4 linked regions of the Diceros bicornis minor genome follow. The protein of the gene in region 4 purifies or fractionates together with the protein of the main gene of each other region. This does not show direct contact. Links are inferred from orthologs where the notes say so. Each region holds a gene or a part of one and is shown on either strand. Other genes may lie near its edges. The genes, in order: YAP1, PATJ, LIN7C and PALS1.

What was found.
Region 1: the proteins of PALS1 (region 4) and YAP1 purify together in Homo sapiens (affinity purification with mass spectrometry; 6 studies listed by BioGRID and IntAct, counting the BioPlex papers as one, with this or other methods). This does not show direct contact. The link is inferred for Diceros bicornis minor from reciprocal best matches to the Homo sapiens genes PALS1 and YAP1.
Region 2: the proteins of PALS1 (region 4) and PATJ purify together in Homo sapiens (co-immunoprecipitation; 5 studies listed by BioGRID and IntAct, counting the BioPlex papers as one, with this or other methods). This does not show direct contact. The link is inferred for Diceros bicornis minor from reciprocal best matches to the Homo sapiens genes PALS1 and PATJ.
Region 3: the proteins of PALS1 (region 4) and LIN7C purify together in Homo sapiens (affinity purification with mass spectrometry; 3 studies listed by BioGRID and IntAct, counting the BioPlex papers as one, with this or other methods). This does not show direct contact. The link is inferred for Diceros bicornis minor from reciprocal best matches to the Homo sapiens genes PALS1 and LIN7C.

The regions. Positions count from the first base shown.
Region 1 is NC_080746.1:32,841,616-32,848,644, reverse strand, and holds the start of YAP1 (transcriptional coactivator YAP1), read left to right. Parts: upstream 1-4,009; 5' UTR 4,010-4,441; coding exon 4,442-4,762; intron 4,763-7,029. UniProt on the Homo sapiens protein: Transcriptional regulator with dual roles as a coactivator and corepressor. Critical downstream regulatory target in the Hippo signaling pathway, crucial for organ size control and tumor suppression by restricting proliferation and promoting apoptosis.
Region 2 is NC_080743.1:1,463,626-1,471,309, forward strand, and holds the start of PATJ (inaD-like protein), read left to right. Parts: upstream 1-4,672; 5' UTR 4,673-4,719; intron 4,720-7,684.
Region 3 is NC_080746.1:83,526,428-83,533,284, reverse strand, and holds the start of LIN7C (protein lin-7 homolog C), read left to right. Parts: upstream 1-3,839; 5' UTR 3,840-3,915; coding exon 3,916-4,234; intron 4,235-6,514; exon of another isoform or gene 6,515-6,706; coding exon of another isoform or gene 6,707-6,713; intron 6,714-6,857. UniProt on the Homo sapiens protein: Plays a role in establishing and maintaining the asymmetric distribution of channels and receptors at the plasma membrane of polarized cells.
Region 4 is NC_080763.1:15,944,292-15,952,286, forward strand, and holds the start of PALS1 (protein PALS1), read left to right. Parts: upstream 1-4,993; 5' UTR 4,994-5,116; intron 5,117-7,995. UniProt on the Homo sapiens protein: Plays a role in tight junction biogenesis and in the establishment of cell polarity in epithelial cells.

The sequences.
Region 1 (7,029 bases), on a different chromosome or scaffold from region 4:
ACATATATAGGTGAGTCGCAGGAGATTGGTTGAGGAGAGAAGCAAAGACTAGAATGGTTAAGGCCCTTATCTATCATCCTAAGAGATGTGAATTTGTCCTGAATTACATTACAACACGATCAGACTTTTATGTTGGAAAGATCACTCTGACATCAGAATAGAAGTCTGATGGAGCCACATTAACTAGAAGCAGGGACATGATTTTGGAGCTCTGCAAAAAAATGATGGGAAGTGAAGTAGAAGTGGAAATGGACATGGAGCTGGGCAGCAGACTTAAGAGAGCTGAAACAAAATCAACACACGTTATTAACCAGTTGGATGTAAGTGATGATGAGAGGGAGGCAATTAAGAGGACGCTCAGTTTTCTGGCTTGAACAAGTGGGTGGATCATGATGCCATTAACTGAGATAATGAATCAGAAGGAGGATGTGGCTTTGGAGGGTGTGTCTGTGGTAGGAAGTGCAGGAGGTTAGGGGTAAAGAGTTCGGTTTTAGGTGTGTTGAGTGAAAGGGTAAATGAACAAAAGGTGAGGAAGTGAAGAACAGTCATTCGGACTGCTCTTTCCAAAAATGTAGCTGTGGAGGGTAGGGCTTGTGAGGTTGTATATATGTTTCCACAGGTTCAGAGGAAGATTTAGGGATTTTGTGCATGGTGACCTCCATTTCTCTGAGCAGATGGAGGTGATATAATTTTCTGAAGGGTAGGGAGATGATGAATAAATGTGATGAGGAGAGTGGTACAGTTTAGAATAGCCATATCATGAGAATGATAAGCTAATTGCAGACACAAGGAAACCTGGTTAAAGACGATAAATATGGAGGGGCACCAATCCACTCGCCTGTGAGATTCCCTCCAGCTGTCCCCAGGAACCTGGGTGTCAACTAGACTTTCCAGAGGCTGGGAGAGGGCTGGATACTTCTTCTTTTCAAGTCCCCAGTATATTCAGTCATACCGGAATGCCAAGAGAGGGTTATAAAACTAGAGTACATTTCAAATGCTTACACTTAGCAAATTAATACTTTTAACACACAGTGATTACAATGCAATATATTTGTGCTATTCACCAGATAATGACAGAATTTACTTAAAATATTAATTCATAATGCATTACAGATAGTGTCATTTGGTAATAGGACAAAGTTTAAAGTTCTACAGTGAATGCCTTCTTGTAGTCATGTCAGTACATCTCTGGGATGATAGTACAACCTCACTTGGACAAAACGTCAAAAGCTTTGATTGAAGCTTTCAATGAATGTTGGGCACGGACCGCCATAAGCCTTAGGTGTTGGAATGGAAAAGACAGATAACTGGATTATCCAGTTTAATAGATCCAATTCACTAAAATACATGGGGCAATGGAATTGAGGGCATAGATGATTATGAGAGGTTGAAGCAATGAGTTATGATTTCTAAAGTGAATTGGGAAAGAAGTGAAAACAGGAGGGAGTGATAAGTTGGTAGAAAAGAGAGAGGTGTGAGTAATGAAACCAGAGAACGAAATGGCTATGAAGAGAATAGTATAACTGTTGGATTTTGCAACTGGAGTATTTCTGGATGACAGGGTGTGGATACAGGAGCAGGCAGCTAAAGTGGAGTGGAGATGAGGGTCCACTGTAGTTGAGAGGGCAAGTCATTGTAAGACTAGTGTTTTGAGATAGTTATCTATACAGATATTGAAAATGATCCAGGATAATGGTGGGTCTTTGTATGAAGAAGGCGACTCCCTATCTCAAGGTTCCTTAAACTGATAATTGCTCTAAAAGTGGGGCTGGAGAGGAAGAGAGGAGACAAAGGATTGCGTACATGTTATCTTTATCCCATATCAACCCATGATTGAAATTTTATAAATGAGGAATAGTAAATTCCAAAATCTTGGTTGATGCTACAGCGATGCTTACAGAACATAACTCGAAACAGCCTTTCAATCCACTTATCAAAGTAATTTTGTTCTCAGTTTAATGGCAGGTGAAACAATATTGAACAAAGCAACCTCTGCTGTACCCTAAGCCCTTTAATTATAGTGTTCATAGTAGTAAATGCTCTAGTTAAGCGACAGCTTCCATTACAATCCTAGGTGTTCAATCACTGGTTCTTAAGTTTTTTTTCAGTTGAAGTTTTTAATGCATAGTTTCTGGCCAAAGTCTTTGTTTGTGTGGATAGATTATTGGATGTGAGATGAAGAGACTGCCAACAGGGCCCCTAAAGGGGGTTGCTGCAAAGGAGAGGCCATGTTACTACACGTGAAGTAATCTGTGAACATGGGACAATGATAGCTGACATTTATGCAGAACTCACCACATGTCAAAAACTGGGCTAAATACTTACTTTATGTCCATTGTCTCATTTAACACCTCAACCTATGAAGTAGGTGTTATTACCCCTGACCCCAATATTAAGGAAATTAAAAAACAGGAAATAAGTAACTTGTCTGATGTCTCACAACTCGTAAATGGTGGAACTGAGATCTGAAATCAAATCTCTATAACTCCAGAACCTACACATTTGTGGTTAAATGCACTTGACATTTGGGGATGGGAGTGGGGATAAAACCAAGAAGCAGTCATGGGCGTCACTGATTCCTTTTTTCAGAGGAAATGGGAGTCCAGAGCAGCTGATTAGAATCTTGCCTTACAATCTTGAGGGTCTGAAGCCTCTTCCCCTGGCCCCACCCTACCCCACCAAGTGATACAGATTCTTCCTCAGAATTCTCCTGGGCAAGTCCTGGCTGGAGGAAGAGATTATCTTTTTGCTCAGGGGACATTTTCTTGCTTAATCCTATTTATACATCTGTTTCACTAGCATTGCAGACAAAATCATTAAAACAAGCCAGATTTGTTTAGAAGGGGCTAGTGGATTTAAAATTAGAGTGATGTACAACTCTGTGAATATACTAAAAACACTAAATTGCTTAAATGGACCAATTGTGTGGTATGTGAATTATATCTCTATAAAGCTGTTTTTTTAAAAAAATTAGAATGTATGAATTAAAAAACAAACTTTCATTGCTCTTGAGTGATTTCAAATGGACTCCTTGCATATAAGACTGCCATATACAGAACCAAGTGAGCTCCTCGCCCATCCATTTCTTATTCAGTCAACATTCACAGAGTCCAGTCTTGTGCCAGGCACAGGGATGAGGGGTAGGCTCCCATCCCCTCGAGGATGAAAGGCAGGTACACATAGGAATGCTGTAACCGAAGTGAAGCACTGATTTTTTGCGTTGAGCTTTTCATGACCATGTTGCAAGTCTGAGTGTTAAAAAAAGTTTTCACTTTTAAAAAATGCATTTTTTTTTTAGTAAATTACATTGAATCACACATCTAGTCTCAAAGCTTCAAATCACAGTAATCGTTTATCTCTTTCAAGTGGGTTTTTGCATATGAAGAAGTTTAAAAAAATCAAGTTAATGTTAAAAAACGGACCCTTATTAAAATCAGTGCCAGTCTGGGGTATCTATTTTAACTTCAACCTATCCTTGAGGATTTAAGGCCGCACTGGCACGCCGGATGGTCAAGTACAGCTAACGGGAGGGCAGTTTAAGTGGATTTACACGTCCCCTCCCGACTCCTTCGGGCCTTCGCATCCCGGGGCGAGCTGGAAGCCTGTCCGCCTTTCCCGAGGACTGGCGGCGAAGGCGCCGGGCTGGGCGGTAGGACTTCCTGCGGCCAAGGGCGGCCGCGTTCTCCGCAGAGGCCAGGGTTCCGACCCAGACTGGACCCAACGTTCGTCGTCGGGCCGGCCGCCCTCCCGTCGCGGAGGGCCAGGCACGCTCTCGGCCCCAGCGCCGGGAAGCTCTGGCGCAGTCCGGGACTGAGGGCGACTGGGTCACGTGTGGCCGGGAGGAGCGTCGGAGGCCCGGAGTCTGCAGGAATGTTGTAACTTGCAGGGAAAAGTTTCCCTCCGCGGCCGGCCGCGGATCCCGTGCGGGCGGGCGCGCAGAGGAAGGAAGAGCCGGGAGGAGGCGGAGCCGGCGAGCGGCTCGGGCGGGCGGGCGGTTCTCTCAACTTTAGTTTTGGCGTCTGAGGCGAGTTTCTGTCTCAGTCGGGCGCAGCCGCCGCCGGGGAAAAGAAAGGGAGGAAGGAAGGAACAAGAAAAGGAAATAAAAGAGAAAGGGGGAGGGGAAAGGCAACTAGCTGTCCGGCATCCGTCAAGGGAGTGAAGGCAGAAAAGTTCTCAGGCGCCGCAAGTCCGGGTCTCTCGCAGCCCCTCCCGAGGCGCAGCCGCCAGACCAGTGGAGCCGGGGCGCAGGGCGGGGGCGGAGGCGCCGGGGCGGGGGATGCGGGGCCGCGGCGCAGCCCCCCGGCCCTGAGAGCGAGGAGAGCGCCGCTCCCGCCGCCCAGCCGCCCTCGCCGCTTCTCCCGTCTCGGCCCGACGAGCCGGGGCGCCCGGGCGGAGCCCTCAGCCCGCCTGGTCGGGGTGCGCGTCGAGGGAGGCAGAAACCATGGATCCCGGGCAGCAGCCGCCGCCTCAGTCGGCCCCCCAGGGCCAAGGGCAGGCGCCCACGCAGCCCCCCCAGGGGCAGGGCCCGCCGTCCGGGTCCGGGCAGCAGGCACCCCCGGGGTCCCAGGCGGCGCCGCAGGCCCCCCCCGCCGGGCACCAGATCGTGCACGTCCGGGGGGACTCGGAGACCGACCTGGAGGCGCTTTTCAACGCCGTCATGAACCCCAAGACAGCCAACGTGCCCCAGACCGTGCCCATGAGGCTCCGGAAGCTGCCTGACTCCTTCTTCAAGCCGCCGGAGCCCAAATCCCACTCCCGACAGGTAACCTCACCGCCCTTCTCCCCGCTAACTCGTCGGGCGGGCCCCAGGCCCGGGGGCGCTCGGGAGCGGCGGCCGCAGCGCCGGCCGGGGGAGGGGGGCTCCGGGAGCTCGAGCCGGGTGGGGGCAGGGGACCTCGCGGAGAAGTCGAGGGACTGGAGGCGCCCGCTCGGCCGCGGTCCCCCGCTCCCCACTCCTCCCGGAGTCTGGGGCCGAGATTTGTTTTTTCCCCTCGGAGTTTCTGTCTGCCGATTGCAGCCCCGGGGGCGTGCTTTTCCCCTTCTTCCTTTCTTTCTTTCTTCCTGGGGTTCCCGGGAGGTTGGCGGGAGTGGCGGGGGAGGTGGGGAGGAAGGAAGGGGGTGGGGAGAGCTGGGCCCGGGCCGCGGTGGGCTCGCACAATGCGCGCGCCGCCGCGCTCCGCACCTTCGCCGCCGCCGGGCCGGGAGGGGGAGGGGCCCCCCCTCTGGCATTTGTGTGTGGGTGAGTTGCCAGTGGCGGCCGAGTTTGTGAAGTTGAGCCCTGGGCCCCCTTTCCTTCGGGGCCTCTCGGTCCACTTCAGTCTCCTGGGGAGTCAAATAATTGTTCTCTTGTTTTCCAGTGTTGATTAGGGGTGGGGGTTCAACCAGTCCATTTAGTTTCTTGCTCCTTCTCCCCCTCCCCTTCCCCCTCCCCCTCCCGAAAGCATTTATTTTCCTCGCGGCCCCGGCGCTTTCTGAATACAGGATCCAGACTTTCCTGGAAGTTGTTTATGGAGTTAGCTTTTACTCCCGCGCTTCCCTTGCGCCTTGGAACTGGGGCAGGCTCGCTCTTATCAAACTTCGTAGGTTCACGTGTTGGTTTCCCAGTTGTGGACTATTATTTACAGTCTGCTGAAATGCTTTTAAACTAGCCACATGTGCACGTTGCGCAGGTCCTGAGTTGCGCTTTACAATGCCTTGGTTTTAACACAAGCCTTTGATAATACACTGCAGGTTGACTCATAGGCCGAGTCCTGCCTAGTTCAACTGTGATTAAAAGTTAATGTTTGGGAAGCGATGACTAAGTTGAGGCTCGCCATTGCTTTTCTAATTCTTATTGAGGATATGAACATGGCTGTTCCACATAGACAACATTCGCTTATTTTGTCAACTTCATCCAGCAATGAAGTGAAACTATTATGAAAGTGTTAACATTCCGACAGGCCCCAGTAGATTTGTTTAGTGTAGGTTTTCCTTTCTTTCTTTTTTTTAAAAAACTTGCTTCAGGCTAAACTTCAGCCTAGGAACTTTGTCCAAAAGTTAATTGGTTTTCCAAGTACTGCAATGTAGTTAGTCCACTCGGGCTGTAACTTGAGTGGAAAGAAGAGTTATCACCCCCACTCCCATTCCCACTCCCCCTCCTGTTTGCAGGCCTGTTGTATGTTCTGCCGCAGACTAAGGGGGTTTTGGAACTCAGAGAAACTCCCTTGACTTGCTGACAAAAACCTGGGTTAAGGAGGAGGAAGGAAAAACAATTTAGCTGCTTGCCGAAACACTTCAGTTTGTAAGAAGTAGACTTAGGTATGCTTTTTTCTCTTCCCCCTGGAAGTGGGTGTCTGGACTCATTATGGGTAAATGTGTGTTACCATTGCACCCTACAGACTACACAGCTATGCAGCTGGTTACTTAATATGTTTTGAAAGTATAATACATATAGGACATTGAATTCCTCATTTTGTGGCATGTATAAGCCCAAAAGAATTGCACCTGAAAAGTGTACTTACACTTCTAGTAAATAATTGCACGTGAATCCAGCAGTTTATGGATTCGTACTATTCATAATCTATAGTTTTGTTACTTTTTAGTAAGTTTCTTAACTAAATGTTGTGTATGTGTAAGTTTGCCTTTTGTTTCTGCTAATGATTTCCTAATTCAAATTTACTCTGATGGGAAATTCAGAAATGTACTCGACTTGGCTATAAGGAGTAAATGCCTCCGCTGATTGCTTCCAGTGTCCCTTTCTTGCCTATGTGAATCTATGAAGTTCTATCTTTTTGATGATCAAATCCTAAATCTAATCAAGGAATTTAAATAACTATACTAGATTATGAATAGTATGAATGTGGATTGTAAATACTATTGTCCACAAACTATTGGATATAAATTCATTCATATATGTGTTTTCCATTTTTCCATCATGAAAGAAGCTATTTTACAAATGAGAAAACTGAGGCTCTCAGAGATTAAGATATTGTTCAGTGTCACGCTAACCAACTTGGACTAGAACCCAGTTCTTTAGAGTCTGAGTGCAGA
Region 2 (7,684 bases), on a different chromosome or scaffold from region 4:
AACAATTAACTCTTTGAAAATGCTTATGCTTTGCTAATTACTCCCATTGCAAAATCTGTTTTTATGGTTCTAGTGATTATCTTCATTCTGTCTTACAATGTATAAACTGAAAAGAACAAGAGAGTCTCCTCATAAAAGTAAAGAAACAACACAAGGGCCGGCCCAGTGGCTTAGCGGTTAAGTGAGCGCGCTCTGCTGCCGGCGGCCCGGGTTCGGATTCCGGGCGTGCACCGACACACCGCTTGTCCAGCCATGCTGAGGCCGCGTCCCACATACAGCAACTAGAAGGATGTGTGGCTATGACATACAACTATCTACTGGGGCTTTGGGGGGAAAAAAATAAAATGAATAAAAAAAAAAAAGAAACAACACAAGATTTTTGACTCTTACACTGACGGCATATTAAAAATTTACTTTCTCTTCTGATGGCCCCTTAATCTATTTTCTCATGGTTCAGTAAAATATATTACTTTATTTCTTTGCAAGCATAATCTCTGATCACATGATCACTACATTGTTTAATTTAGTAAGAGTTCTTAAATCTCAATCCTAGATGTGTTTTCAATGCCAGATTTCTTTGTCACATAAAAATTCTATAGAAATTCTATAGAAAGCAAAGGACAGGGGTAGCACAACCCAATAAGGAAACTACTGTGTAGAAACATTAGGGGTGAGGATTACCAGTGGAGCCTAAAGCAGAGCTTCCTCTGGGATTCGATGGCTCTGCACGTTGGATCTTTCCGTTCCTAAAATTCCCGCATACGCCTAATTACATTAACAGATGGTTTTGCCTACAGCAAAGCTTTCTGGGGAAACCAACCTGACTCTTGTTTGGTTAGGGCAGAAACATTAAGAGATAAAAGATTGTTACCCTCCAAAAATTTCTTTTTTATTTGACTGCGATGAGCAATTTTTTCTCTGGTGATAAATTCGCAATATCAGGGCTCTGGCAGATGTTTGTTGGTCTTCTGCACATAGGGAATTCTACTACATCCATGCTGTTGACTCGCAAGCATTTCGGATGTGTCCTCTCCTTGGTGCACCAGCCTAACTGCCAAAGTCCAATTAAACTGTTTGACCCATCACTTCATGAGGCCCACTCTGTGCCAAGTAGATTTCATCCTGATTGTCAAATGTAGGATCTAAAACTATCACAGTCCTGCTTCTCAGAAAAACAAAACAGAATAAATTGGCTTTTCTCAGTTTCACCACCATAGTCCTTTTATCAGGTTCAAAACCGAGACTCATCTTTGCCCTTCTGTTTTCTCCTTGTTCTTGAATCCCTTTTTCCAATCAGGAAGCAACTGATATTTTTAAGTGTTCGTTTTTTTATCCTGTATCTTCACGCTATTGCAGGTATTCATCATTTCCTCTGTACCTTGCCATAGCGGCTGCTTCCTTCCACTTTTTGATTCTAGGCCCTCTCCCCAACTTTGTCAATCCATTTTTCACACTGCTTCCACATTAATCTTTCGTTAAAAAAAAACACCCAATCTATATCATATTCAAAATCTTACTCAAAATCCTATTTAAGCTCCTTGGTATTTACCCAAAGGAGTTGAAAACTATGTCCACACACAAACCTGCACATGAATGTTTATAGCAGCTTTACTCCTAATTGCCAAAACTTGGAAGCAACCAAGATGTCCTTCAGTAGGTAAAAGGATACATAAACTGTGGTACGTCCAGACAATGGAATATTATTCAGTGCTAAAAGAAATGAGCTCTCAAGCCATGAGAAGACATGGAGGAATCTCAAGTGCATATTACTAAGTGAAAGAAGCCAATCTGAAAAGGCTACATACTGTATGATTCCAGTGGTATGACATTCTGGAAAAGGCAAAACTGGAGACAGTAAAAAGATCAGTGGTTGCCAGGGATGAATAGTTGGAGCACAGAGGATTTTTAGGGCAGTAAAACTACTCTGTATGATACTATAATGGTGGATACATGTCATTAAATATTTGTCCAAACCCACAGAATGTACAACAGCAAGAGTGAATCCTAACGTAAACTATGGACTCTGGGCAATAACGATGTGTCCTCTAGGTTCGTCGACTGTAACAGATGTCCCACTCTGGTGGGGATGTTGATAAAGGGGGAGGCTATGCATGTGGGGGCAAGGGGTGTAAGGGAAATCTCTGTACCTTCCTCTCAATTTTGCTGTGACCCTGAAACTACTCTACAAAAATAAAGTATTTTTAAAAATAAATAAACGCTAATCATTACATGTTTAAAAAACCCAAAATGAAAATCCTATTCATACATTTTCAGTGGTTCTTTAATTTCTCAGATGTGAAGGATAAAGGCTCAGAACCTAGTCATCTCTGTGTATTCTCAGGCCTCTACCATCTGCCCTGGCCTCACCTTATTTACTGCTTCTCTTGACTGTCCCCTTGTTGTCACCAGTATCTGTCACGCTCCTTCCCTCTATGTGCTGCTTCATTTATTGAGGACTTTCTCTGTGCCAGGTATGTGCAGTACACATATTCCTGCATTTAACCTTCAAAACTACCCTGTGAAGTGAGCACTGTTCCCAGTTTCACTACTGAGAATTACAAGGGTTAAGTCACTTGCCAAAGTCACGTATTTCAGGAAACGGTGGATTCAGGATTCAAGCTCAGATCTTCTGACTTCAGAGATGTGTTCTTAAAAATTTTGTTCATCTTCATCATTCTATGAATAAGGCACTCTTGAGGTTTCTTAGAGGTAAACATTCTCAGAGTAAGCTTTATCTTAAAAAAATGTTTTGAATGACAAAAAAAATTTTAAATTCTAGGTAAGAGCCAAAGGAAAGCTCACATAAAATTAACAACACAATGATGTGGAGAAAATCAGATGAAATGTGGTGGAGAGAGGTGTCTGCTGGGGTGGTCAGGGGGGCACCTTCTCTCAAGAAGGGAGACTTGAGTCTAGCCCAGGAGGCAGGGCAGGCCTTCCAGGACATCCCAGGCACTGAAAAGGGGACAGCATGGTGTGGTGATTCCTAGGACATGGAGCAGACCTGTGTGGCCAAAGTCAGATCCTGGAGAGGTGAAGTGGCAGATGAGGTTGAAGAGTCAGCAAGAAGGGGTGAGTTTAGAGGGCCTTGAATACTAAGGAAAGGAGTTTGAACTTTGTTTCATGGTCAGTTCAAAATCACACTATTTTTTGAGGAAGGGGGAATCTGTTCATAACCATCATGAAATGTCAAAGTAAGAAGAGACCCAGTGTTTGAAGGTGATGCTTTGAGATCATTGGTCTCCACCTATGTGCTGCCCCCTGACCTGGGAAGCATTTCGTTCCCCATTTTATGTTAAGCAAATCCCACACACCTGTTAAGACCTCTTTAAGTCCTAATAGATGCTGTCAACAAGCATAACAGATCTCTATTTTCTGAAAGTTTAGCTTTATTCTATTTAGTAATTTAAGTTATTTTATAAGTTTATTTCCCTCAATAGTTTGTTAGTTCCTGAGAAGCAGGACTGTGCTGAAATTGTGTATCTTTTTACCAGCCTAACAAGTGATGTTTCGTTTAAAACAAGGGAACCAACAATAACACTACAAAGTGCCAAGTGTATGATCTTACAGCTGATGTCCTCATGTTGTAGTTGTTTTGTATACATGCCTCGTCTTCCCATTTTTAACATTTTAGTCAATCACAGTGCTTAACACACACTGCATTTATTCAGTGAGTACATACTTGAAGATTGATTCTCTTTATCATTAATGTGTGCACTGTATTAGACAAAGTAAACCGCCTGTCATCAAAATTCTCGTTACATTAAAGAGAGTGGAACAATGCCATTGTAGGTTTTACACAGATCTTTCTCCAAGTCAAGTTAGGATATCAAGAGTAAAAATGTTAAAATGCAGAGTGAAGTCAATACTGGACCTAGGGTCAGAAGATCCGTGTGGGTCGCAAACTCTGGGCAAATCCTTTAACCTACCAGGTGCGCGGCTTCTTCCCAGTGGACGAGGCCGTGCACCAACTGGCCGGGCAGAGCGAGGTCACTGCAGCTGGACCATCTTCACCTGCTCGGCGAAATGGGAAGGCAACAACACCCCTGTGACACTTCGTAGATCTTCAGGTGGGTCCGCGGGTACAGGAACCGAGGGGGTACGGGACCACGCGCCCCCCTTCCCTCTCCAGGCCTGGCGCTCGCTCTCCCGGCGACCCTCACACCTGGGCAGCCGGCCCCCCTCCGCCTGGCGCTCTACCTGCCGCATCTCCCAGCCCGCAGCCCGCCGCCACCTGCGCGGGCCTAGGACCAAGAGCCCGCCCAGCCCAGGGGAGGGGAGGGGACGACGGAGGGGAGGGGGGAGGGGACGGGGAGGGAGAGGGGTCGGCGGAAGGGAGGGAGGGGTGAAGGGGGAGGGGAGGGAGAGGTCAAGGGGGAGGGGCGGGGGAGGGGACGGGGCGGGGGAGGGGACGACGGAGGGGAGGGAGGGGACGGGGAGGGACGGCGGAGGGAGGGAGGGGTGAAGGGGAGGGGAGAGGAGGGAGGGGACAAGGAGGGGGAGGGGAAGGCGGAGGGGGGGAGGGACGGAGCGCGGGGAGGGGAGGGAGGGGACAGGGAGGAGGAGGACAGCGGAGGACAGGGGGAGGGGACGGGATGGGAGGGGAGAGGGGAGGGGCAGGGAGGGACGCGGCGGGGGAGGGCCTCAGGTGAGGCGGCGGCCCGGCACTTCCGCCCAGGTGACTGGGGCCGCCGCCGCCGCCGCCGCCCGCCGGACCAGGTAAAGCGGGGCCGGGCGCCCGGGGGAGGGAGGGGGCTCGGGGGACGCGGGCGCCGGGCGCACCTCGGTGCCCAGCTCGGCCCGCTCGGCCCACTTCTGTCCGCGCCCGCGCGTCTGCACAGGTCGGGGCCTGGCCGCCCGGAGCCGGACGGAGCGGGGACGCTGGCCGGCCTCGGGCCCGGCGGTCACGATGGTCACGGCGGCCTCGGGGGTCGCGGCGCTCAGGCCCGGGCCCCGCTCCCGGGCACGGCCCAGCGCAGGCTCTTCTCCGGCCGGGGGCACTGCGTCGGGAGGCGTTTCCAGCCCCTCGGCGCCTGCCCTCCAGGCCGGCTCGCCGCTCGGTCTCGGCTGGCCCCCCGCCCGGCCTCCGCTGCCCCTGTCCTGGGCCCGGCGCAGCCGCTGACCCGGGTGCCCGAGGGAGCGGGCGCCCCCGACTGCACTCAGGGGGCCCCGGTGGGTGCGAACAGTCCAGGGCCTCCCCACGGAGGGAGGAGCCTTCCCGAGCCCAGCAGAAAAAGAAACCTGGGCACACCGGAGGAAACACCACCTCCCGGGCTGTCTGGGCTCCGCTAACGCCAGTCCCTTCGCGCACGCCTTGCTTGAAGGAGAGCTAGGCGGGGTGGGGTACAGCTCGGATGGGGTCATTCTGCAGCATCAGAACAAGTTAGGTGAGGTCATGACTTCTAACTAAAATGAGCTTGATGTTTCTAGGCCCCTAACGGCGTTTATAAGGACTATGAAAAATTTAACATAATTTGAAAGTTAATAAATGTCAGAGCTGGAAGGAACTTTGTGGACAGAATTTGTAAACTGAGTTCTGAAGAGATTTGGCCTTGCTAACAGATCTTGGCATCAAAATAGTTTTGTTTAAAGTTGGAAAGAAATTGTAGTAAGCCCTCATCTGTTTGTTTATTTTTTTTTATTTATTTTTCCCCCAAAGCCCCAGTAGATAGTTGTAGGTCATAGCTGCACATCCTTCTAGTTGTTGTATGTGGGACGCCGCCTCAGCATGGCCGGAGAAGCGGTGTGTTGGTGCATGCCCGGGATCTGAACCCCCGGGCCGCCAGCAGCGGAGCGCACGCACCCAACCGCTAAGCCACAGGGTCGGCCTAGCTGTCGTCTGTTTAGAGATGCCTTAATAAGTTCAAGCCTTGTATTTATTATTATTTTTATGACTATAAAGGTAACATACATTCATTGTAGAAAAATTGGAGAGAATTTTCAGAAAAGGAACTAAAAGCACACACAAACCCACCTACTCTTGAAAATAACCACAAATAAAATTGGCGTATATTGTCTTGCCGTCAGTGTTCTTAAGAAATATCTGTATGTTGTCCCTTGTGAGTTCACCTTCAGAACCTTGTGATTCTGAGATGGTGGTTCAGCGTTAGTAATCCTTGTAATTGCATTTTTACTTAAAAGCATATAATAATTATCCTTAAGCTACACAACCAAGCAGTGTGGATTTACTTTCTTTGTTAAATATTTAACAAAAAACTTTAGGTTGGGGAAGCCAAAATGGGGGTTTGTTTGTTTACTTAAGACTTTGCTCATCTTGAGAGTAGAGTCAATCTTTTGAGACACAGGACTAGTCCACCTTAATATTTGAGATTAATTGACCATTGCTGTGCTTTTTTCATACTCAGATGTTGTGTAGATTTGGAGGGCTTTATAAAAGCCCTTATCGTAGGGTCTGGAGCAAATAGAGAGGTGTTTAGAGCCTGTCAGTGCCCTTCCTTTAGTCATCGGCATAGGGCCCTGCTGAAGATGTCGAGCCCACTTAGTGTTTGTGTTTGCACAGCTGTGCAGTCTGTGGAGTTTGGAGATGTGGAGTTGGGCCCACTGGCCATGTAAGTCCGTCTTGGCAAGTGACTTGACTCTGGACCTCTGTTTTCCCATTTGTAAACAATCTACCTCACTGAGTTTCGGGGAGGTTGAAATGAAGTATGTTCAAGAATGTGTCTTGTAAACTCTAAGCCATCATTCTCCCACTTTTTGCTCCTCCACTGTGATGTTTAATTCTGATAAAATTATGGAGTTGTGCTATTTTTATTGAGTAGAACTCAAGTTTGTGAGTGTTCTCACTCAGTTACTTTGATAAAAGGCAGAGAGACCTATTAGCTGATGAACAAAGCCTTTGTTAAAACGCTGTGCAGGGATCTTTCTGAAAAGTCATAGTTAAAACTGCACTGTTGCAGCCGGCCTGGTGGCATAGTGGTTAAGTGCTCGCGCTCTGCCTCGGTGGCCCGGAGTTCGCAGGTTCGGATCCAGGGTGCGCACTGACGCACCGCTTGTTAAGCCATGCTGTGGCGGTGTCCCATATAAAGTAGAGGAAGATGGGCACTAGTGTTAGCCCAGGGCCAATCTTCCCCTGCAAAAACAGGAGGATTGGCACTGGATGTTAGCTCAGGGCTAATCCTCCTCAAAAAAAAAAAAAAAGAAAGAAAACAAAACTGCACTGTCAACATGGTTAGCTGCTTGCACATGTGACTACTGGGCATTTGAAATGGGGCTAGGTGGAACTGAGATGTGCTGTAAATGTAAGATACACATCAGATTTTGAGGATTTACTGTAAAAAAGTCTAAAATACCTCATTAATTTTTTATATTACTTATAGATTGAAATGATAATTTATATACATTGGGTTAAGTAAAATATATTATTAAAATTAATTTTGCCTGTTTTTTTTTAAAGATTTTATTTATTTGTTTATTTTCCCCCCAAAGCCCCAGTAGATAGTTGTATGTCACAGTTGCACATCCTTCTAGTTGCTGTATGTGGGACGTGGCCTCAGCATGGCCGGAGAAGCGGTGTGTTGGTGCGCGCCCGGGATCCGAACCCCGGGCCGCCAGCAGCGGAGCGCGCGCACTTAACCGCTAAGCCACGGGGCCGGCCCCTGCCTGGTTTTTTTTACCCTTTTCATGTGGCTACTAGAAAAATTAAAATTTTGTATGTGTGGCTCAC
Region 3 (6,857 bases), on a different chromosome or scaffold from region 4:
GTTGAGAAAGCTTTCGGGGCCGGCCCCAAGGCCTAGTGGTTAACTTAGGCACGGTCCCCTTCAGTGGCCCGGGTTCACAGGTTCAGATCCCAGGCGTGGACCTACACCACTCATCGGCTATGCTTGTGGTAGCAACCCACATACAAAATAGAGGAACACTGGGCTGGCCCCGTGGCTTAGCGGTTAAGTGCGTGCGCTCCCGCTGCTGGTGGCTCGGGTTCGGATCCTGGGCGCGCACCGATACACTGCTTCTCCAGCCATGCTGAGGCTGCGTCCCACATACAGCAACTAGAAGGATGTGCAGCTATGACATACAACTACCTACTGGGGCTTTGGGGGGAAAATAAATAAATAAACAAAATCTTTAAAAAAAAAAATAGAGGAACACTGCCACAGATCTTAGCTCAGGGCTAATCTTCCTCAGCAAAAAACAAAAGAACAAAGGGGCCAGCCCCATGGCATAGTGGTTAAAGTTCCATGAGCTCCCCTTTGACGGCCCAGTTCACAGGTTCAGAACCCAGGCACAGACCTACACTACTTGTCAGCCATGCTGTGGTGGCAACCCACATACAAAATAGAGGAAGAATGGCACAGATGTTAGCTCAGGGCTAATCTTCCTTGGCAAAAAAAGAGGAGGGTTGGCAACAGATGTTAGCTCAGGGCCAGTCTTCCTCAGCAAAAAAAAAAAAAGAAAGAAAGAAAGAAAGCAAGCTTTCATGCCCTGGCTGCCTAGTTAGGACTTTAATTTTTCCTATAAAGACTAAATTTGCTTAATTTAGCTTTCACTGGGATTTGTCTAGACTCAGACTTCCTATTCTCACTTGAGTGTTCCTCTTTCCCTCCGAGGCAGGAAGTTAAATGAGGAAGCAACAGGTGAAGAGGAGCTCTTCCAGAGGAAGAGTAGTTCTTGATTGGGAAGCCTGGTGGCTTAACAACCCGGCAGGGGCATAAAAGCTAAAGCAGCTCTGTCACGTTGTGCTCACAGCGGCCTCCTCTGAGACCCAGGACAGCGATCACTCTGTGAAGTGAAGGAGTGGGACTCTCTAGGTCTCTCCCAATTCTAACGCTCAAGGATTTACGAATCAGGGAGGGACATTTTAGGGAATCTCTCCTTATACAGTAGCTGATTCTTTTATTTTGTACGTTGAGTACAAATGGGTTGTTGTTAATTAAATCATATTTTCTTCACTCAGAAGTAGCTCCTAAAACTTTTTTCTTCCTTACCTATGCTTCAAATAATTAATGGTCTATAACTGTTCTGATTCCCAGTCCTTAGAATGTAGCTTTTTATTCTTTTCAATTTCTCTGAAAATTTTAGGATCTTCTACTTATTCACGGAATTCTGAAATTTCATGATGATTCTATGTGTTAAGAAATTACCAAGGATAGGGCCGGCCCTGTGGCTTAGCGGTTAAGTGCGCATGCTCTGCTGCTGGCGGCCTGGTCTGGATCCCGGGCGCGCACAGAGGTACCGCTTCTCCGGCTACGCTGAGGCCACGTCCCACATACAGCAACTAGAAGGATGTGCAACTATGACATACAACTACCTACTGGGGCTTTAGGGGAAAAAATAAATAAATAAATAAAATTATTAAAAAAAAAAAAAGAAATTACCAAGGATAGGGAAAGGATCATTCAAAAGGAGCAAAGTAAACAATCAACAATCTCCGTTCATGAGAATAGTTCCTGTTCCTGCCAGGCAGAGTAGAACCATACATATAAATTACCAGTCAAGTAAGAAGCAGGAAATTATGAGCCATAATGAAGAGAAAAATCAATGAATAGAAACAGTACCAGAAATAGCACAGATGCTAGAATTAGTAGATAAGACCATTAAAATTGCCATTATAATTGTATTCTATATGTTCAAGAAGCTAGAGGAAAGACTGAGTATGTTAAGTAAGAACATGAAAGATGCAGAAAAACACACACACTCCTGAATCAAACTGCTAGAGATAAAAACTACAATGTCTAAAATGAAAAGTGAACCAAATGGGATTAAGGGAATATTAGATATTGAAGAAAGGAAGCAGAGAAAAGCTTGAAAAAACAAAATGAACTGAGCATCAGTGAGCCGTGAGATAATGCCAGGCAGCAGAATACACCTGTAAGTGGAGTCATCAAAGGAGAGGAGCCCGAGGATGGGGGAGAAAAAATATTGGAAGAAATAAGGGCGAAGTCTGCATTTGTCTCTCTCCACATGGTACCCTCAGTGCCTAGGAAGGCACCTGGCAGACATGAGACATTTAACAAACACTTCTTGAACACCTTTGTGGCGGAACAAATGACAACAATGAATAAGACATGAGCACATGAGTGCTACTGCAGGTATAAGGGCCATCATGTACCAAAGAAGGGGAGGAGGATGGAGAAGGGAAGCTTAGTGGAAGTGGAGTGTCTTCAGCAGGGACCGGGAGGATGGGTTCAGTCTGAGGATGTATACAGTTTGGAGAAGTGGAGGAGATGAAGGGCATTCCACATAAGAGCAACATAAATGAAGACTTAAAATCAAGAATAAACATGGTTTTGGATATGCCACCTCAACCTGAGTGGTGGTTGCATTCGAGGGATAACGAGAAACGAGGTTAGATAGATGTTAGGGTCAAGTACGCAAAGCTTCAGAAAGAGGAAACAGGGTGAGAAACCACTGAAAGTTTGCGAACAGAATCCTTTGATGATGAAATCAGGGCTCAAGGGGGAAAGCGGGTATAGTGGTGACATTCATGATGGATTAGAAGAAAGCATTATAGTTGGGTGGAAAGGGTGGGCCAGGGGCAACCTGGAGGTTGTTTAAACAATCCTATCATGAAGTCTTGAACACTTGTATATGAAAACACCTAAGATATTATCAACACAGACCAGGGCTTGAATAAATGTTAGTGGAATCTAAACACCGGGCAAATGAATATTCCATTTAAACTGAGGACAAAATTTTTCTTGGTTCATGAAGTTTTCAAAAGTGGCCCTAAGACTCTGTAACGCATTAAGAATATCACGGCTTCATGACATTTCACTTACATAAGATTTTGGATCAGCTTTTTTAAACTGTTACTTCGTGGTGCACCAAAGAGCCTTGTTCTCTGGCTCACTCACCCAGGCGCGCTTCACGCTTCCCGTACTTTCCAATCTCACTCGCAAATAGATTTAGAGGGAAGGCTCCTGTCCTGATTTTTAAAATTAAAGCAACGCTGCCACAAAAGGAGAATTTACAATATCTCAATGACACGCCTGATTGTCACAGAATCCCACAGTTGAAGGATGGAAAAGACCTCGGAGATGGGGCCTTCATGGCACAGATGGGGAAACTGAGGCCGAAAGAGCGTAAGCGCGCAGTCCGGGCTCACAGAGCCGGTAGAGGTCAAGCTGGGACAAGACTCCAGACTCTTCCCCGTGGAGCCAAGGGCTCCAAGCGGGTGGGACGACGTTAAATCCCGAGGCAGGGAGCAAAGGTCGTGAAGGCGGCCCTGTTCAACCTCAGGAGGCCGAGGAACTCAGAACCTTGGAACCCCGGGAGGGACAGCACGGAGCCCACCTGGCGAGCCGGCCACGCCTCCACCTTGCGAGGTCCCCCAAGCCCCCAGGCCCCGCTCCCTTTCTCGCGATACCGCCCGGCCCCGCCCCCCGGCTCCCGTAGGCCCCGCCCCTCCGCCGCGCCCCTCTGTCGTCATTTCCTGTGGGTCTGCGGGCACAGCAAGAAGATGGCGGCGCTGGGGGAGCCAGTGCGGCTGGAGCGGGGTGAGTGCGGCCGGGGCCGGGGCCGGGGCGGACGGAGGGGGTGGAGGCGGGCCGTGTCGCCGGGGGGAGAGGGGCGGCCAAGGCTCCGAGCCCGAGCCAGGCTGCCCCTCGCGCTGTTCCCGGGGACCGCCGACGTCGCGGCGCCCGGCCCCAGGGAGGGCGCTTGCGGTCTCCCGAGTGATGCCCAGACCGCAGTTGGCACGGACCGTCCCGGGGCGCAGCGCGGGTCATCACCTGTCCGCCTCCGCAAGCGCCGCACATGGGCCCCGGGCTGAGAGCCGCGTCGCCCGGAGGCACCCCTCCCACGCCCGGCCGGCCGGACTGCACGGCTGCCCACCTTCATGCACGCGCCCGGCGGCCGCGCCTGCACCCACGCGTCCTGGACGCACAGCGCGTCCCCACAGCACCGCTCCTGTGCACGCACAAACCCGTCATTGCCTTGACCACACCTCACTCCTGTTTGTTTTGGGGTATTTCCTGGCCTTGGTGCCCCTCCCAGGTACGGAGAAGGTGCTTTAAAACAGTCCTGCTGATTTGCTCTTGGGAAGAAGGTTACATAACTAGCCGGAATAGTGGTAGATTGTAAAATGTTTGCAAGTGCAGTCTTATTTCTTCTCTACAAACCCTACAACTGCTCACTGTGGCTGGTTGCTTGCTTTTTAGAGGAAACTGTCAAGGAAAATAAAACTTGTTTTGCTGAGTAATTAGAGACCCAAAAGCCAGTGAGAATACATGGCCATGCCCCTACCAGGGTTCTCTTACAGATTTTCCACATTCCACTCTTTCCTCCGCAGATCCTTTATTTCATGCAATTTCAAGCATCCTTTTGGCATACCAGTATTAGAAGTCGTTGGTAAGAGTCAAGAAGTACAAACTAAATATCTTGAGTACAGTAGTAAACAAAGTATAGGATGGAGATTGAAAATATCTTGGAAATACTAACATTTGCAGTTATGCTCTGAATATTAAGTAACTTCTGCTCCGAGAAGGGAATGCATTTTTAGAATTGTTGTATTTAGAGAAACCTCTTTCCTCATGCCTTCACACAAGCCAATGTGCAGTTAACATTGTTGATTCCTTATGGTGTTCACCGTTTATAAACGACATCGTTACCCCCCAGCCCGCCAGATCATTAATTAAAGCATCATTTTTGACAGAGAAGTAGCAACTTTGGGAAGATTTACTAAGTTAGGCCTGAGACGGTGACATCTTCCTCCTGAGCACAATGGCACTGTGCTTTGTCGATGGGAACAAATCTGTTTGGTGTTAACAGGAGTAGGTGTTTTTCTTTGAAAGCCAGTTTTAGGATTTTAGCATGTTGGCAGTCTTTTGTATTTTTAAGTGCAGAACAAAATGTGAAACTTAACTTCTGGCATTTAGTTTTGGTAGTCATGGCTTTGTTTTTGCTGTTTCAGAGTTCTCTTCAGTTCCACAGTAGAATGCTCAGCATCTTAGTAGGATGAATTATTAGCGGTTGCCATCTAGCAGGATAAGAAAGTCAGATTACATCAACTCTGTTTCTTATTTAGAATTCTGTTTAAACTTTATTAACACTGCCAATAATCCTACAGTATAAAATGAGTGCATATGATTAAGATCCTGAATGTCTTCTAAATTATCATATGATTCAGTGGAACACATTTGAGCACAAATTAGGTACAGCTTGGGTTCAGTAGAGAGTATTTTACTTTTTTCAATTTTTTTGGTAATTGGAAATTTTCATGTAGCTTACATATTGTAACTTTGTAAGTCAAAATAGCTGATGAACCAACAGTCCCCATCCACCAGCCATTCTAGTGGTAGAGTATCAGAATGGGGGAAAGTGTGTTTGCATTGCATTTGATTCACATCAGTTTAAGCTTTTATTACCTGAAATTGAAAAATCTACTTCTTTCTTCACTACGTTTATTCCTAGTTTTTCAGCTGCAAACACAAAGAAGGCCATATTAATTCTATAAAGAAAAAGTTCCAGTCCTTTGGTATAATAGAACTTCTTCCACTTAAAAGGAGGCAAGGAATGGTAGAATAATAGATATTCTAGCCCCTTGGGGTACAAAAATAGGTAAGAAAAACATCAAAATAGAGACAGTCATTAACAGTGTTGTAGCATGACCCTGAATCTTATAAAATGTCTTAATTCGTTAAACACTTATGCTCACACTTCCCAATGCGAATTGCCTAACGTGCTTAATATATCTGTATAAATGTGTACAACCGCTTACTATTTCTTATGATTAATTGGTGCCAATGTAACATAACATTTCTGCTTGCTACATGCCAGACCCTTTTCCGTGTATTTTTTGGTTTAGTTGTCAGGTAATTCTTCTAAGGAGGGTACTGTTATTTCCATTTTACAGTGGAGAATCTGAGACATAGGGAGGTTCAGTAACTTGCCCAAGATCACACCGCTAGTATTGAGATCAGATGACAAAACTAATTATTTTTATTTTTCTATTTTGTAAACACGTATGTATTTGATTGAGCTTGGCTTAATTAAAACATTGTGTTAATTATCCTAAGTTGAAAACAGACCAGTTGATTTTATTCATTTGTACGATTGTTTTATTTTATTTATTTATTTATTTCTGTGAGGCGATCAGCCCTGTGCTAACATCTGCCAATCCTCCTGTTTTTTTGCTGAGGAAGACCAACCGTGGGCTAACATCTGTGCCCATCTTCCTCCACTTTATGTGGGACGCCACCACAGCATGGCCCACCAAGCCGTGCATCGGTGCGCTCCCGGGATCCGAACTGGCGAACCCCAGGCTGCCGCAGCGGAGCACATGCACTTAAACTGCTTGCGCCACCGGGCTGGCCCCTGTACCATTGTTTTAAATGTGTCCCTGCCACTAACTGCACCTGTTATTGAACAGTTCGGGTCTGCATGAATATCGTGTTTTCCTTTGGGACATGAACAGTGACTTCACTGGCACACAGTGTTTTGTACTGTTCAGTGTTTTGATTACTAATAATGACAGGTAAATTTTTATTGACTAAATAGTTCCAGATAATACTTTCAGCTTTTCTGAAGCAATACAATGTTCATGTGTCTATCACATTTGAGCCCCAGTCCTTTCCTGTGACATTTCATATTTTATATTCAATTTTCCTGTGTCTCCCAA
Region 4 (7,995 bases):
TCAGGGAGATCATGTTGGGCCAGAGACTACTGAGCAGAGCAGTGAGTTGGCCTCACATTTATTTCTGCAGGATCACTCTGGCTACAGGATTGAGAAGAGAAAATACGGGTGGGAAAGAGCCTATTGCAGTAATCCAAGCAAAAGATGATGGTGTCCTGGAGTAGGGTTTTAGCAGTGGGGTTGGTGAGAAGCGGTTAGATTCTGGATATATTTTGCAGGTAGAAATAAAAGGATTTCCGGGCCGGCCCGGTGGCTTAGTGGTTAAGTGCACACACTCCCCTGCTGGCAGCCCGGGTTCGGATCCCGGGCACGCACCGATGCACTACTTCTCCAGCCATGCTGAGGCCGCGTCCCACACACAGCAACTAGAAGGAAGTGCAGCTATGACATACAACTATCTACTGGGGCTTTGGGGAAAAAATAAATAAAATTATAAAACAAAGAAAACCTTAAAAAAAAAAAAAGAAAGAAATAAAAGGATTTCCTGATGGATTGGATGTGCAGTGTGAAAGAAAGCTTGAACAACTGGAATAGTGGCATTTACCATATACTGAAATGAAGAAAACTGGACAAAAACAAAAAGTTCTGACATGTTAAATTTGTACTGCTCATTAGAAATTCAAATGAAGATGCTGAGCCAACAGTTGAATATATGATTCTGGAGTTTAGGGCAGAAGTTCAGGCTAGAGATAAATTTAGAGTTGACAGCGTATAGATGGAATTTAAAGTCACTGAGACCAGAGGAAATCATGCAGGGAGTGAGTGATAAAGAACATGATAGTTAATGCATACAGTGCTGGGCATATGGAGATTCACTTAGTCTTCACAACCACTGTAGGAGGTAGCTACTTTTATTATCCTCAATTTGTAATGAGGAAACTGAATCTCTGGAGAAATTGACTTTCTTCTGATCAAACAGCTAGCAAGTGGTAATCTGGAATTCAAATCCAGATAGAGGGAAGTAAAATACTGAATTCAGAGCCCTGGGACATTCCAACTTCAGGAAGATAAAGAAGAATCAACAAAGGAGACTGAGAAGGAAGTTCCAAAGGGTAGGAAGAGAGGCTATAGCAGTGTTTCAGGAGCTCGGAAGACAAATGTAGAAAGTGCTCAAAGGCATCATAGGCTGCTGGCAGGTCAAGGAAGATGAGGACTGAACAACGACCTTTGCATTTAACAAAGTGGCTCTAACCGGTGACCTTGACAAAGGCTGTTTTGAAGCAGTGGTGGTGTTAAATCTCAGAGCAAGGCCAAGAGAGGAGAGAAGAGGCATCAGAGTTCAACTCTTTGGAGTTCAGCACAGACACCATCCGAGACCCAGTCACAGGGATTCACCTATGGATCTGAATTAAAGTGGCAGCTGAGATTTGTGTCACAAACAGGATAGAGATTTGATTGGGAGCTTGGTGAGGAAAAATATGGGTAATTTCATAGCCCGTTTCAAGGAGAACGAACTTGATTTCCTTTCTTTTGGCATTCAGTCTTGATCTTTCCTTCATTAGAAAATTTTCCAAGCTCCAAATTTGCCTACCTCCTCTCTCCAAAAGAGAATTTCTCTTGGACCATGTTTTATTAGTCTACACATCCCCAGCCTACCACAGGACCAGCCAAGAAGAGTACTAATAAAACTGTGATAAATGACTAGCATCCTAAATATTGAATATCCTACCCTGAAGTCATTGTTGACCACTTGCTGTTCCCATAACAAGCCCATGCTTTTCTCTGTGTACTTCACTCAGTCATTCAAATTGATAAAAAGTTTGTTTTTTTTTTTGGTTGAGGAAGATCTGTCCTGCGCTAACATCTGTCGCCAATCTTCCTCTTTTTGCTTGAGGAAGATCCGCCCTCAGCTAACATCTGTGCCAATCTTCCTCTATTCTGTAGGTGGGTCTCCACCACAGCATGGCTGACGAGTGAGGTAGGTCTGCGCCCAGCATCTGAATCCATGAACCTGGTCTGCTGAAGCAGAGCGTGCCGAACTCAACCACTAGGCCACAGGGCCAGCCCCAAATAAAACGTCTTATGTCTATCTTTCTAAAGCCATGTATTAGATCTTGGTTTTCCTATTATTGTGGGTCTTTTTCTAGTAGCTTTTTCTTTGTCCCTCTCCTCTGTAATTAGATAGTAAAACTTCTCCTAGTATAAGATGTTATCTTTCTTTGAGTCCACAGAGCATCTTGTTTTCAATTACCATACTTTCCCTTGTATTTTACCTATAGGTAAAATGGACCTTACTCGTCCCTTTCCCCACCTTACTATAAGTTCCTACAGGACAGGGGCTGACACCTGTTTCAATTCCCTACAGCACAGTGCTTAGCATGTAGGAAGTACTCAGTATATATTTTTGGAGTTAATGAGTGAATATTTATTAAAGTGAATTGAGTTGGATGATACTGAACCTGTACTGAATGCCACTGACGCTAACTAACCTCAGACGGCGGGACCTCCTATACCTCATGGCAACAACTGCCTGACCTTCTTAGCTTAGAGACACAATATTTTTAGCTAGATTTATGAAAGGTTAACAAGTACTCTAAAACATCAAAATAATAACTAAACACAATTAAATTTAAAAATTAGTTCATGATTTGATGGTTTGCTTTTTGTTTTTTTGGTATTTAAAATTTTTTTTTAGATATTTATTTAATAATTAATGTACCTACTAATTTGTTGTTTCATAACTTCTCATATCTGAATCAGTGGGTATTCTTCTTTTAATTTACATTATCTCTGATCATCTGGTTCATACAATTATTAAGTGATCAGGGTATTAATTCAGCTGTGAAGACTGGGCTTTCACATAGAGGCGATCAAACCAAAGGGATATAATAGCCTTAGTTAAGGATTTCACATACAATTGTGAATGGCAGAATCTTGAAAACTGAGATTTCAGACCTGTTGCAAATGGCTGAAATGCAATATTAATATATTTCCCCCAAGCCTTTAATAAAATAAAATAGCACAACATTTTATTACATAAACACACGATAGAGGCTGTTGGCAGATGATGGGTTTAGCAGATGCCAAGATGAGGAAGGAAGAAGGATGATATTTACTATGGTTACTCTCTACCTTACATTCAATTTTACAGTGTAGCTTTCACCACTCACCCAAAATATTACTTAGTCACAAATTTGCCAGGTGACTCAGTGGGTGAACTGCCTTGTGACTAGAATGAACAACTCTTCTGACAGGGGGTTTTATGCCACAGATTACCCATTTCATTCTATTTTGGGATGAATATTATATTTCCTTAACTCCCTATGCTATTCATGTTAGATTCCATATGCAAAGGCTACTAGAATCTTAAAACTAAAAAAAAAAAAAAAAGTAATTAACTCATTATATTCCACATGAGAAAATTAAAGCCCAGGAAAGTTGTCACTCATCACAGAACTAGTTAGCATCAAAGCTAAAACTCAAATCCAATCGCCTTTCCTCCATTTTCTATACCTTCCACTCGTTCGGCCACCCTTCAATTTTCGCACACAAGACCAGTTATTTGAGTGATTTGGGGCTTCTGGGAATGGCTCTATTCACCAGAGAATAAATGTTTTATTTGCCATAGGGTCCACCCTCTTTTAAAATGAAAATACCCTCAGGAAGTAAAAATAGTAACTAACATTTGTATAGCATTTTACAAAGGAACTTCCATATCTTTTGAGATCAGGAGCTGCTATCTCACACAGATAGCTATCATCATTTTATTAGGGTGGGGTCCTGTGACAGAGGAGTCCAAGCAGCTGGGGAAGCAATGCTGGTAGCTGGAGGGTTCATTTGGGTGGGGGTGTTTTGTAAAACCGCTTAGGGCCAAGCAAGGAAGGTAAGGTAAAGAGAGACAATCTTCCTGAAGAGCCCATTTCTTTGAACAGCTACATCAGTGGTTCTTAACTGGAGGTGACTTTGCCTGCCAGGGGACCTTTGGTAACATCTAGAAACATTTTCGATGGTCACAAATGGGGGTAATGGTGCTACTGGCATCTAGTGGTTAGAGACCAGAGATGCTGCTAAAAGTCCTACACTGCACAGGACAGCCCCACAACCAAGAACTATCTGGCCCAAAGGTCAATAGCGCTGAGGCTGAGAAAACCTGAGCTAGAGGAAAGAAAATTCATTGAGGAGCTAGATGAAGCCTCTTGAATTGTTATTTACTTTATGCATTTAAAAACTTAGGAAATAGGTGACACACACACTAACATTTTTTTTTTTTTTTTTTTTTTTTTAATATGGCTAATAGTTTCTAGGGAGTCCTGGAGAACCTGGATTTCACTGCACTGGATGTGGGTTTGCCCAGGTAAGTCTAAATCCATTCACTGGAGTTTTGTGAAGCAGCTGTGGCCCCTGGCATCCTTTTCTCGTGCTCAGAACTCGGTCCTAGCTGCTAGCTTTAGAGTCTTCCGCAGTAGCAGAGAATTCTTCCGTGGGACACTACACACATCCAGGTGTTTAAGTATGTCATGGTTCTCTTGCAAACAAATGTTAGATTGTGTGGCGTGCTTCACAGGACATGAGGAGTCGCCTCACGGGGAATCAGATTTTCTTCAGGACCTGACGGTCATTCAAGGGGAGCAGAGTCGACGGCTGTAGAGCGGTAGCATGCTCCCCACCACGTCCCAGGGAAACTTAGTCTCTACACAACACAGCCCCCAGGGCTCAACGGGAAACGTGCCTCCACACGAACCAGTTCGCGGTTTATATAGTTAGAGGCGCGCGACCTGCCTCTCGGGAGCTCCAGAGCGGACCAATGACAGGGCCCTCTCTCCGCACCGGCTCGGCATTGGGCGAACCGCGCCAGCCTCTCTGCTAGCAGCGGGCGGGGCGCGCTGAGCAGGGACTGGGATAGGCGCGCCCACTGCGCCAGAGTCCCGGGGGCGCGTGCGCGGTCTCGCGGCGGCCGCGGGGGCTGGTCTCGCGCGGTCTGGAGGTGGAGTCGCCGGCGGCGGCGGCGACGGCGGCGACTGGCAGTTGGGGGGGGCGGAGACCAAGGGTTGTGAGGTGGGGAATCCGGGAGTTTCTGGATTCTTTATCTGGTATTTTAAGTGCCGCTGGGAGCTGTCCTTCCTGCAGTGTTTAGGAGCAGCCGGGGCGGAGGATCGGCGGCCGCCGTGGCGCGGAGGTAGGAGGCGGACTGGCGGTGGCTCGGTGTGGAGATCCTAATCAACAGGTCCCGGGGAGCCGAGGGGGAGGGGCGGCCGGGCTCACCCCCTCCCCCACACTGGGAGCTCGGCCCGGGGAACCGGGACTGCTCCGCCGCTGCCCCCGGCAGCAGGAGCCCCGGCCGGCTGCGGAGGGCGTGAGCCCAACCTTTGTCCCACGGAGGAACGCTGCTTGGCCGTGCCCGCTTTGGCGAGGGACCCACTTGGGCTGGCGGGGTTCCCGCCCGCCCGGCCCGAGTTGTAGGGGGGCGGTAGGGAGGCGCCTGCCCTCTGCGCCCCCGCCCGGAGTTCGCGACTCCCGGGACTTCCTCCAGGCCGGGTGGGGGAATCTTCGGGCGCACACTTTCCTTTAGAAGAGGGAATGTAGTCATCGTTTCTCTGCCTGACTCAGCTCCCGGTATTCAGCTGCTCATTGCGTTCTTGAAACAAAAAAATCAGTTCTACTTCTTTGTGACCACTTTTAAAGAAAAACCTGATTTCCGTAATGGTTTCTGATAATTTACTCTAAATTCGCAAGGTGAATTTTAAAGCCTCTAAATTGTTGTAAGCTGCATTTAATGAAAGGCGCTTTAAACAATCTTGGGGGCAAATTATGTAACTTCCTAATAATAATAGCTCACCTTCTGCTTAGTTGATTGACACACAGGAATGTGTATGGAATTCAGGTTTCCGTCCAAAGGCTTTTCTTGGCAGTTGGCGCTAAAATTAAAATCTGATAGCTACGAGGTTTTTAGAAATAGACTATAGTGTGTGTTTTGTTTCCGTACTCGTTTAGCATTGTAAGAATTTAGATTTGGAAAGCCTGTAGAACAAGATTTTTGAAAGTTTAATTTTACTGAAAAGGTGAAAGGCGTTAGTATTTTTGATTTAAAAAAAGTAATATCGTGTTTTAATGATATCCTGATTATGCTTTTGGATTATACCACAAATTAATAACCTATTAAATTCTGCGATAGGAACAAATGACATGTTGATCATTGGTGTCTTTGAAGTATCAGTATTGACGGTAATGAAATTAAGTGAGCTTTTTTGGATTATGAACTACTGATTTGTTTTTTACTAGATCTCTGTGGTCATGGCATATTACAACTTCTAAAAGGCTCTTTAAACAATTGTAGCAGACTGAACCTATTAAATTATAATGTAAGATCTTTATACGTGAAACAGGCAAAAATACGAAAAACAATTCATCATTTTATCTTTGTTTAAAAAAATCAAGTAAATCTTACCATGTACTTCAGTGACTTTTGTCTAGACAGACCTGAACTTGACAAGTAAAGATGGACTCTTTAATAATTTTAACTTGTTTTAGAATGTTAAAATGAGAGAGGATATGTAAGTTTTACCTGAGTGACCCAAGTCAATACGGTTGAGCTGTTGATATGCTGTTTCTGAATTATGATCTTGTTTAAAGAGTTCATTACAGACATACTAAGAAATTTGATCCATTTTATGTATCAATATACTAAGATGCCCTGTTTCTCTGATAGTTTTTGATCTCAGGGTGTCTGGGAAAAATAGTTTCTCAACATAGGTGCTTTAGAATATAATTTTTGATTATAAACTTATTGAATCATAGAATTGTTGGGTTGGAAATAATCTTAGTGGTTGTATAGCCTAACCTCCTCATTTTCCAGGAAAAGGAAAGGGAGGTTATAGAGTTAAGTGGTCCATAGTCTGACTGCTAGTTAGTGGCAGAGTTGGACCTAAATGCTAAAATGCTTGTCTCCAGATTCCAAGTACAGTGCTCTTTTCACTATATATTCTATTGTTAAATAAGTAAACCAGTAAGTTACCATTCTCAAAATCATACATGTAGCCAGCAGGGTTATTTCTTTCCCTTATGCATTTTTTTTTCCTTTCCTTTGTTTTTGGTGAGGAATATCAGCTCTGAGCTAACATCCATGCCAATCTTCCTCTTTTTGCTGAGGAAGACTGGCCCTGGGCTAACATCTGTGCCCATCTTCCTCTACTTAAATGGGACGCCGCCACAGCATGGCCTGACAAGCGGTGTATCTGTGCGCGCCAGGGATCCGAACCCCCGGCTGCCAGCAGCAGAGCGCGCGCACTTAACCACTAGGCTGCGGGGCTGGCCCCCACCTTTCCTTTTTTTTAATAACCCTAACCATAGTTACTTCATTCCCCTACTGAAGGGTTGTTTTCAGTTTTTCAATATTTCAGACAGTGTTTAATAAATACCCTTGTGCATGTCTCCTCGAGCACAGGTGTGAAGGTTTCCCTAGGTATAAGTGGAATTGCTGGGTCATAGGTTGATGTGTATTTTTGACTTTACTAGCTGCAGCCAAATTATCTTCTAAAGTTGTAACAGTTTACATTCCTGCCAAAAGTATATGAGTCATCGTTGCCCACACTTGGAATTGTCAGATTGGTGTTGTCATATTTTTAATTTTTGCCAATTGGAAAGGTGAGAAATGATATATTTGTTTTCTTTCTTTCAAAAAGATTTTAACTTTATCATGAAATAAAATTAGCTCTTTTCATTGTACAATTGTTTTGACAAATGCATAGGGCTGTGCAACTACCAAAATCAAGTTACAGAACAGTTCCAGCACCCAGAATTCCCTTGAGCTGCTCTTTTGTCATCAGCCCTTCCCCCACCCTTAACCCTGGCAGCTAGTGATCTGTTGTCTTTTCCTATAGTTTTGTTTTCTAGAATATCATATAGATGGAATCCTACTGTATTTAGCCTTTTGAGTCTGGTTTCTTTCATTTAGCATAATACATTTGAGTGTTCATCCATTTTGTTGAGTGTACCAGCAGTTCTTTCTGTTTATTGGTGAATGTAGTATTACATTGTGTGGATGTTGGTTTATCCATC